Linked DNA regions of Xenopus tropicalis. The protein of the gene in region 1 purifies or fractionates together with the protein of each later gene. This does not show direct contact. Links are inferred from orthologs where the notes say so. Each region holds a gene or a part of one and is shown on either strand. Other genes may lie near its edges.

Evidence for each region. Proteins that work in one complex are often made in the same cells at the same time.
Region 2: the proteins of ptges3 (region 1) and smyd2 purify together in Homo sapiens (affinity purification with mass spectrometry; 3 studies listed by BioGRID and IntAct, with this or other methods). This does not show direct contact. The link is inferred for Xenopus tropicalis from reciprocal best matches to the Homo sapiens genes PTGES3 and SMYD2.

Annotation. Positions count from the first base shown.
Region 1 is NC_030678.2:138,770,241-138,774,241, reverse strand, and holds the end of ptges3 (prostaglandin E synthase 3), read left to right. Parts: intron 1-206; coding exon 207-296; intron 297-1,193; coding exon 1,194-1,256; intron 1,257-1,810; coding exon 1,811-1,835; intron 1,836-1,966; coding exon 1,967-1,986; 3' UTR 1,987-3,418; downstream 3,419-4,001. UniProt on the Homo sapiens protein: Cytosolic prostaglandin synthase that catalyzes the oxidoreduction of prostaglandin endoperoxide H2 (PGH2) to prostaglandin E2 (PGE2).
Region 2 is NC_030681.2:13,619,739-13,623,821, reverse strand, and holds the start of smyd2 (N-lysine methyltransferase SMYD2), read left to right. Parts: upstream 1-1,141; 5' UTR 1,142-1,323; coding exon 1,324-1,490; intron 1,491-4,083. UniProt on the Homo sapiens protein: Protein-lysine N-methyltransferase that methylates both histones and non-histone proteins, including p53/TP53 and RB1. Specifically trimethylates histone H3 'Lys-4' (H3K4me3) in vivo. The activity requires interaction with HSP90alpha.

The DNA.
Region 1 (4,001 bases):
AAGATGGAAGCTCGGCAAAGTAAAAGGGGGCTGGGCTTCATGCTATAGACTAGCTGAGAAAGCTGCAGTTGAACTGCTTGTGGTACAGAATTTACATGTGACTGAATGTAGGGAGAAAGGTATGTTATTCTGGGCACTATTTCTTTTGGTATTGAAGATGTAGCTTTTATATTGTATTAAACATTTTAGTATCTTTTATTTTTCAGCTAAATTGGCTTAGTGTTGACTTCAATAACTGGAAAGATTGGGAAGATGACTCTGATGAAGATATGTCAAATTTTGACCGCTTTTCTGAGGTAACTGGTCCTTTTGTAACAGCAGTACTTCAGCAGAACCTTTATCTTAACTGTGTTCCTAACAATGTTTTTCTCAAAAAAATGATGTTTATGATAAAGACTTTAAGGGGGAGATATCAACATTCGAGTTTGACTTTATCATTTAAAGGTTTTTGTTCGGTAAAAAACTCCAAATTTGAATTATGGTTCAAAAACTCAAATGTCTGGTATTTAAAGTGCTAAAAACTTGAATGTAAAAATTCCCCATCTAAAATCTTGTGAGCTTCTATAGAAATCAATGGGAGTTGTACTAGGCAAAGTCAAGCCATATTTTCAATTTGGGATATTCAAGTTTTTGTTTTTTTGACTTTGTAAATTCTAAATTTCTACTTAGTCTAGTTTTTTTTGTTTGGTTTTTTAAATTGCACGAATTTACCACATTAATAAAGAAGCAAGCATTCGATCTGTGAGCTAATTTGATTTAGAAAAACAAACTCAAATTCATAAACTGATAAATATGCCTATAAAAGTTTTAAAACTAAAATAGTACCTGTCCTCCTGTGATGGATTTTTTTTAAACCTGCCTGATAGAACTGGAGGAGGGGCAGAGTCAGCAAAATTTTTCAGCATGTATATGGCCACATTAAGGGGTTCCATCTACTGACCCAGTTACAAAGAAAGGTGTAAATAAAACCATAGGGAGGAGAAGGAGGAGAACCCCCCTTATAGCTCTGTCTTGATGGTTACTTCTTTGCTTTTTGTTTTAAATTGTAATTTTCTTTTGTTATTTAATTTTATATACAGGTGTTATGGTTACTTTAATGACAACCTATTAAAAATGGTTAAGTATTGGTATTTTCATACAAAAGAACAAAGGCTTGGCTACTTAAATGCTTTTTCCCCCCTTCTTTTAAACAGATGATGAACAATATGGGTGGAGATGAGGATGTAGATTTACCAGAAGTAGATGGTGCAGATGATGTAAGTTCCAGATCTTACTTAAATGATCATACAGGGGAAATTATGCTCCTAGTTTTCTATTGGATCCAAAAAAAGCTGAAAACTTGAGCTACCTTTTTGAATGGTTTGTGAGAGTTAGACCACTGGCATAGTTTATAGGAAGAGATTTATTAGGGTGATCTAAGAGCAAAAACTGAGAGACTGCTCTATAAAGGCTCAGATGTTTTATATGCAGTCTGATTTGCTCCTGTGTCTGCACTGTCAGCCTGGGAGCAGTCACACACAGCATATTTTGGTGCAAACATGTATAGTCGCCTTTGTGCTGAAATCACCTTGTTTTTTCACCTAGGCCGACACAGTGCCTGTCAGTGCAGACGCAGAAACAGCTACAGATGGAACTAGCCTTAGATGTACTGGTTCCATGTGATGCCAGGTTAAAATATATAGAATAAAAAGGCTATTAAAAAGTTTTGTTCAAGTGGATTTATTTACTTAAAATAACAGCATGGAAGAGAGAGTTTTGTACAGTTACATTGACACTGAACATCTTAATTTATATCTCATGTTATTTTTAGGATTCACCAGACAGTGACGATGAAAGTAAGTTCTGCTTCTTCCATCTATATAATATCTTGCCAAGCAGAGACATGCAAAACTACAAATTACATAAACTACTAAGCTGTCCATTTTCTAAACTTTTTTTTCTTTTCTTTTTAATGTTTTCTTAACAGAAATGCCTGACCTTGAATAAGAAGTCCTCTTGCGGTTTGGGAAAGGGATGGGAAAATAGGTGGAAAGCAAAATATTTCAACACACTGCAACAGTTGCTGATATCTGAGTTGTAAATACAGTTACTGAGTACTTCCAGTCAGCCTTGTTTGTTTATCACCACCAAATGGCTTTCATTGAGGGTTGGAGACTACAGTTGTACAGTGCATCCTTCAGACCATTGAGCCTCTTCTAGATGTACTTTTTAGATTACCTGTATTTATGCAAGACTTCACAGCCATCCTTGGTATTGCATATAGCCACAATATCAATGCACTTACATTTTTTTTCAAGGGAGAAGGTGGGGGTGTTCATCTCATCTCAAGCAGCAGGTCACTTACATGTGTATCTCTTCTGACAGCACATTCCCAAAATTTCCCAAATAATTGTACTCATATAGCGATTGTAATTGAACCCAGGTTAGGTTTTTTCATTGTGGATCATAAACACAGCCAAGTGGTTGAAAAGCATTGTACTGGGATGCACAGTTGGGTTTTGCTTGTAGGTCCTGCTTTGGATGGCACTGGGTTATAAGTAAAAGTAATGTGGGCAAATGAAGAGTGTTAGAGACATCAGCAATTTAATCATAGAAAGTTGTCTTTCAAGTAATGCAATTGATCGTTTTAAATCAATGTATAATTGCAGAAGTATCAATTTTCAGATCACTTTACAGTAAACCTGCAAAGAAATTGTAGAAAGAAATAAGGGAATATAAAACAATCTACAGCTTTTCTTTTTCTCCTAACTAGTTTTACGTAGTGTTTGCCCAGTCATGTGACTTTTGGGAGTTTATATTAAATGCAGCGCAGAACGTAATTTTCCTTTAATAGTCTCTTCTGTCAATACTGTGACACAAACTGATTTTATTTACCTTAATTTTGGTGTGCTTATGTATTTTTAATGCTTTAATACAACCATAAAATGTGTTCCTCGTATCAGTTTCCAGTAGTACATTCTATTCATTTGCTACCCCTGATTCAGATAACAGATTTTTAGGACATCCGTAATCTGTATGCAACATTTGTCAGTGAATTCAATACATGTGCTTTTAGAAGGGCTGTCTGGGTTATTCAGATTCAGGGTTTGTGGACACCAAGAATGACCATAAAAACTTGGTTCTCACAGCCCCTGAAACATGCCTGTACAATTGTTTTTTCCACCCTTTTGCAACTCTACGTTTGGAAGAGTGCAGCCAGCTGTACATTATTTCTCATCAGTCTGTACATTTAGACCAAATTGTATTTGCACTGTCACAGTATATATTAAAAAAGAGTAACAATGTTAATACACTATTCTGTTTTGTTTTATTCCTTTTTTTTTTTTTTTTGATCAGGAAAAGATACCTAAAGTTGTATTGGAAGTTGTGGGGATTTTTTTTAATTGTCTGCATTATTTCTAATAAACTGTTAAGAGACTATGTGATATATTTATTTTTTTTATATTTTTTTTTACACATTATATATGAATTAAACATATATATATGTTGTTATATTGTTAATAGGCTAATAGACTGTTGTAATTATAAGCTAAATGTTAATGCTACAGTTAGGTTACTAGTTATATCCCTGGATAGTTTATTTTCTTACAAAACTGATCTTTCATGATTAAAACAATAGGCAGGAAACTATGCTCTGTACAAGCCCTATTCATTGCATTGATGTTGAGCAAGGGGATATACTGCCCCTACACCACATGTTCTTAAATTAAATAGGAATTGCAGAGCAGCTGTATTTAGAAATCATTTTTTTTTCCCCACCTCAAACGGGAATTGGATTCCTGTTAGTCACAATATTGAGTAAAAGAAGGGGGTGGAATACTGGAAACCTAATTAGATTAAACATGGAGTAGCTTTAGGGCTCTGGCACACGGGGGAGATTAGTCGCCCGCGATTAACTCCCTGTTCGCGGGCGACTAATCTCCCCGAGTTGCCTACCTCTGCCATCCCACCGGCGAACATGTAAGTCGCCGGCGGGATGGCAGACGCGCCGGCGCGATTTC
Region 2 (4,083 bases), on another chromosome or scaffold:
ACAGTCGCCCTTGGGACACTCTGGGCTAATGGTGCCCATACAGAGGCCGATAATCTGTTTCTGAACCATCGCTGCATTACCATTGGCTGCTCACATTTTCCAACCAGCTTGATGAATAAACTGCCCAATATGCACGGTACAATAATATAGGTCAGTGGGGGGTCCAACCAACATACAAAATTTGAAGATGTGACTTTATTGGTACATGTATGGTCAGATTAAGAACTGAGGAAGGGAAGAAGGCAGAGGCAGTGAATAAATCAGCTTCCTGCTGACTGCAAGTGTGCCCAGTCCTCTGTATGCTTACATGCAGTGCCGGACTGGGACCCCAGGGGCCCACCAGAAACCTTAGACCCTGGGCCCACTTTCTAAACTATTTTTTCTCCTTTCCTCACCCAACCTCTTTATTCTCCTAGTCTCTTTTATTTACATGCTAGCATCTATTCTTCCATCTATTTCTCCTCTTTGTTCCCATTCAGAAATAGGGAATGACCAGGAAGTAGGCCAAATGGTCAGGAGCAGGAGGGCCCACTGACACCTGGGCCCACCGGGAGTTTTCCTGGTATCCTGGTGGGCCAGTCCGACACTGCTTACACAGTCATGTGACTAGTTCCTACTTCCTTTCTAGCAAAGGGCAGCAGTGCTGTCTTGCTTTGTGGTAGGGATTTTTAAAGCACCCCCGCAGGACAGGGGTGGCCAAAACATTGATCGCAGTCGATCCCCCGTGGACTTCTGGTGGGATCTAAGCCAGGGAAATGCGGAACCACAGCGCCTTTATTGGGGATGCGTGCGTAAGCTGCACCGCGTATGTACGCAGGGAGGAGCCAAAGTCAATCGTTGTGCGAAAAAGTCTGGGCACCCCCCGCCCTAGGAAAACAGCCATTGTTGTTTCACAAGACAATTGTTGTTTCCCTTTATCTTTCCCTCTCAATGGCACACATGCCAGGCTACAGTTTGGTCAGCTGAATTACCCTATTAAATACTCACATACTGGCCTAACTATAATGCCTCTTGGAGATGCTTGTAGCATTGTAACCCTCTAATGGGACAATAAAAAGAAGGCAATGCTTTTATGATAACAGTATGACTTTAAAAGGGGATCCCGAGTTCCGTGCAGCAGCAGGGGGGCAGTATTTCCAGCGCACACACAGAGAGAGGGAGTCAGGTAACGGCGGTAGGACCCTGCGGCTCCGGCAGGCTGCCCAGCTGTCTCAGTGTGTGTGTGAGTGAGTGCGGCCCGGCAGGGGGGAAGCATTAATAGACTGTCCCTGGCACAGGCGCACCCCTCTCTGTCATTCTCTCTCTCTGCCCCCCTCCCGCACCATGGGACAGCCCGAGGGTCTGGAGCGGTTCGACAGCCCAGGGAAAGGCCGGGGTCTGAAGGCTACGCGTCCATTCGCGCTGGGGGAGCTGCTGTTCAGCTGCCCGGCCTACACCTACGTACTGACTGTAAACGAACGGGGAAACCACTGCGAGTTCTGCTTCGCCAGGTAACATGGGCAGCAGGGGAAGCGGCTCTGCCCGCTTATATAGAAGAAGGGCCGGCCTGGGCCCGGCGGGGGAGCCGGGGGCGCGGATATTTAAGGCGTTACGGTAGTGCCTTTCTATAGACATGTGGGTTCCGCAGTGGCGCTGGGTCCTAGTGCCTGCTTACAATCATTTGGCTGCTATTGGGTCTGGTTCTAGGTCGGTTTGTGAGAGTATTTAGTGCTGGGGTAATCCTATAAAGGTCCCCATACACGGGCCGGTTCTAGCTGCCAATATAGGTCCCTTAAGGTGCCCATACACTACATCGCCAAGCGAGTGGATCTTCACCCGATATCCACACCTACGGGTGGTCGATATCGGGCAGCAAGTAACTTGAAAAAAAAATAATCCCCAGGGCCAAACGATTGGATTACATTTGTGGTTATGGGGCAGTCGGTTCGGGGACCGCAGCCGAGCAAACGATGCGGTCCCCGATCCGGCCGGATTTTCTAACCTGGCCAATCGAGATCTGGCCAATTTCAGGCCAGATATCGGTCGGCCAGGCCGTTGTGTTCTGCCCATACACGGGCCGATTAGCTGCCAAATCGGTCCAAGGGACCGATATCGGCAGCTATAGTCGGCCCGTGTATGGGAACCTTTAGACTGATTCGGCAGCTAATCGGCCCGTGTATGGGAACTAACGACAGGCCTGCCCCACCGATATCTCGCCTGAAATCGGCCAGATATCAATCGAGCAGGTTAGAAAATCTAGTCGGATCGGGGACCGCGTCAGCTCGTTGATGCAGCCCCCGGACCGACTTTTCCTATACCCGTCGTTATAATTAGCCTGGATTCTCCTGATATCGCCCACCCGTAGGTGGGGGATATCGGGAGGCCAAGCGAGCGGATCTGAAGGTGTATGGGCACCTTAAGAGTATTAAACTATTTTGCAGCACAAATCAGGAGTAATGTCAGTGGGAATATGGGAGTTGTAGTTCAGAAAGAGCCGAGAGGCCTTACTGGTCTGATTAAATGTTCCTTTCAAAGCAGGGCCACAATTTGCAGCGATGCCTGCCCTTGGGGGACCCCTGATTGCCCTTGTCTGGGGGACCCCTGATTGCCCTTGTCTGGGGGACCCCTGATTGCCCTTGTCTGGGGGACCCCTGATTGCCCTTGTCTGGGGGACCCCTGATTGCCCTTGTTTGGGGGACCCCTGATTGCCCTTGCCTGGGGGACTCCTGGAGGCCCTTTAGCTCAGGGGTCCCCAACCACCAGGCCGTGGACCAGTGCCGGGCCATGGGCTGTGCTGAACTGGGCCACCTGATCTCCCATTGATTTTGTATTATGGTGAGCTGTATTATATTTTATAATGTAATAATATCCATAACAATAAAAATAAAGTGCATAATATAAAATGTAATAATGACATTTACATTATATATGTACTAATTAAATTATATACTATAAATTAGTTGTGGGCCCCCCCCCCCCCCCCCCCCCCCCAACCTTGGTCCTTCGAAAAATTGTCTTGCTTGAAACTGGGCCATGGTGCAAAAAAGGTTGGGGGCCATTGCTTTAGCTCCTATAGGCCATGTTACTCTTGAAACATTGTAGCTGAAATCGGTTCTCCTTCTGGTCTGTTAATCAGCTGGCTTCTGCTACATTGTCTATGAAATCATAAGAATGACGATAACAGTCACTGATCCCCGACGACAAAGTAGAATTTTTAGTTGCAGGCCAGAAAAAAAGTCAAGAATAGGAAAGGACTAGTAATTGGGGGGAGAAAAAATCATAAATAATAAAAATGAAGACCAATTGAAAGTTGCTAAATAAGTTGAATGAAAGGTTTCAGCTCTAGGCTTTAGCGGTGATTGGTTGTTGAGAGTTGCAGTTCAACTATAACTGTACTGGCACATGTTAAACCCTAATGTGACCTATGGAGTCATGCAGAAGTACTGGGAGCAGCTGGGTGCTGCTGGTTCCCATGTGTCCAACTGACATAACGCTAGTGGGCTATTTTAAGCCACTCGCAGTTAATTGCTCTGCGCCCATATGAGTCCCAGGGTGGAGCTGTCCAACAGGTGTTGGTTTAACAGTGTTGTACTGATCAGAAAGCAGCCAATCAGGGCTTTGCTTTCACTGTCAACCAAAAAAATATGGGTCCACTCCCATTATTAGTATGATTAAATATTGCTGTTAGATCCTTGTACTTTAGCAATTCATCCAATTGCATTCTGCATGGCAGCATAGAAACCAGTGCAGTCTGCAGCATGAACTAGTTGAACTGAATTGGACACCGGCCCATACGAAGACGCTTCAGATGAATTTTTTTAACAGGCCCCGGCACAACAGGCTGCGCTGGACGCGCAGCCTGTTGTGCCGGGGCCTGTTGAAAAAATTCATCTGACGCGTCCGATGTAAGTCACTAGCCATGCCTGTGTCTATACTGGCCAGAAGAGCTGCCGTTGCTGAACCCAAGGCAGCTTTGATTTGGGAGTCAGAATGTATAAAGGGAAGGATGGCCTCTGGGGAATAGAAACACTGGGAGTGGCAACAGCTGAAGCCGCAAATAAAGCAACGGGGACACCTGGAAAATCATGTAAAGGAATGGCAAAA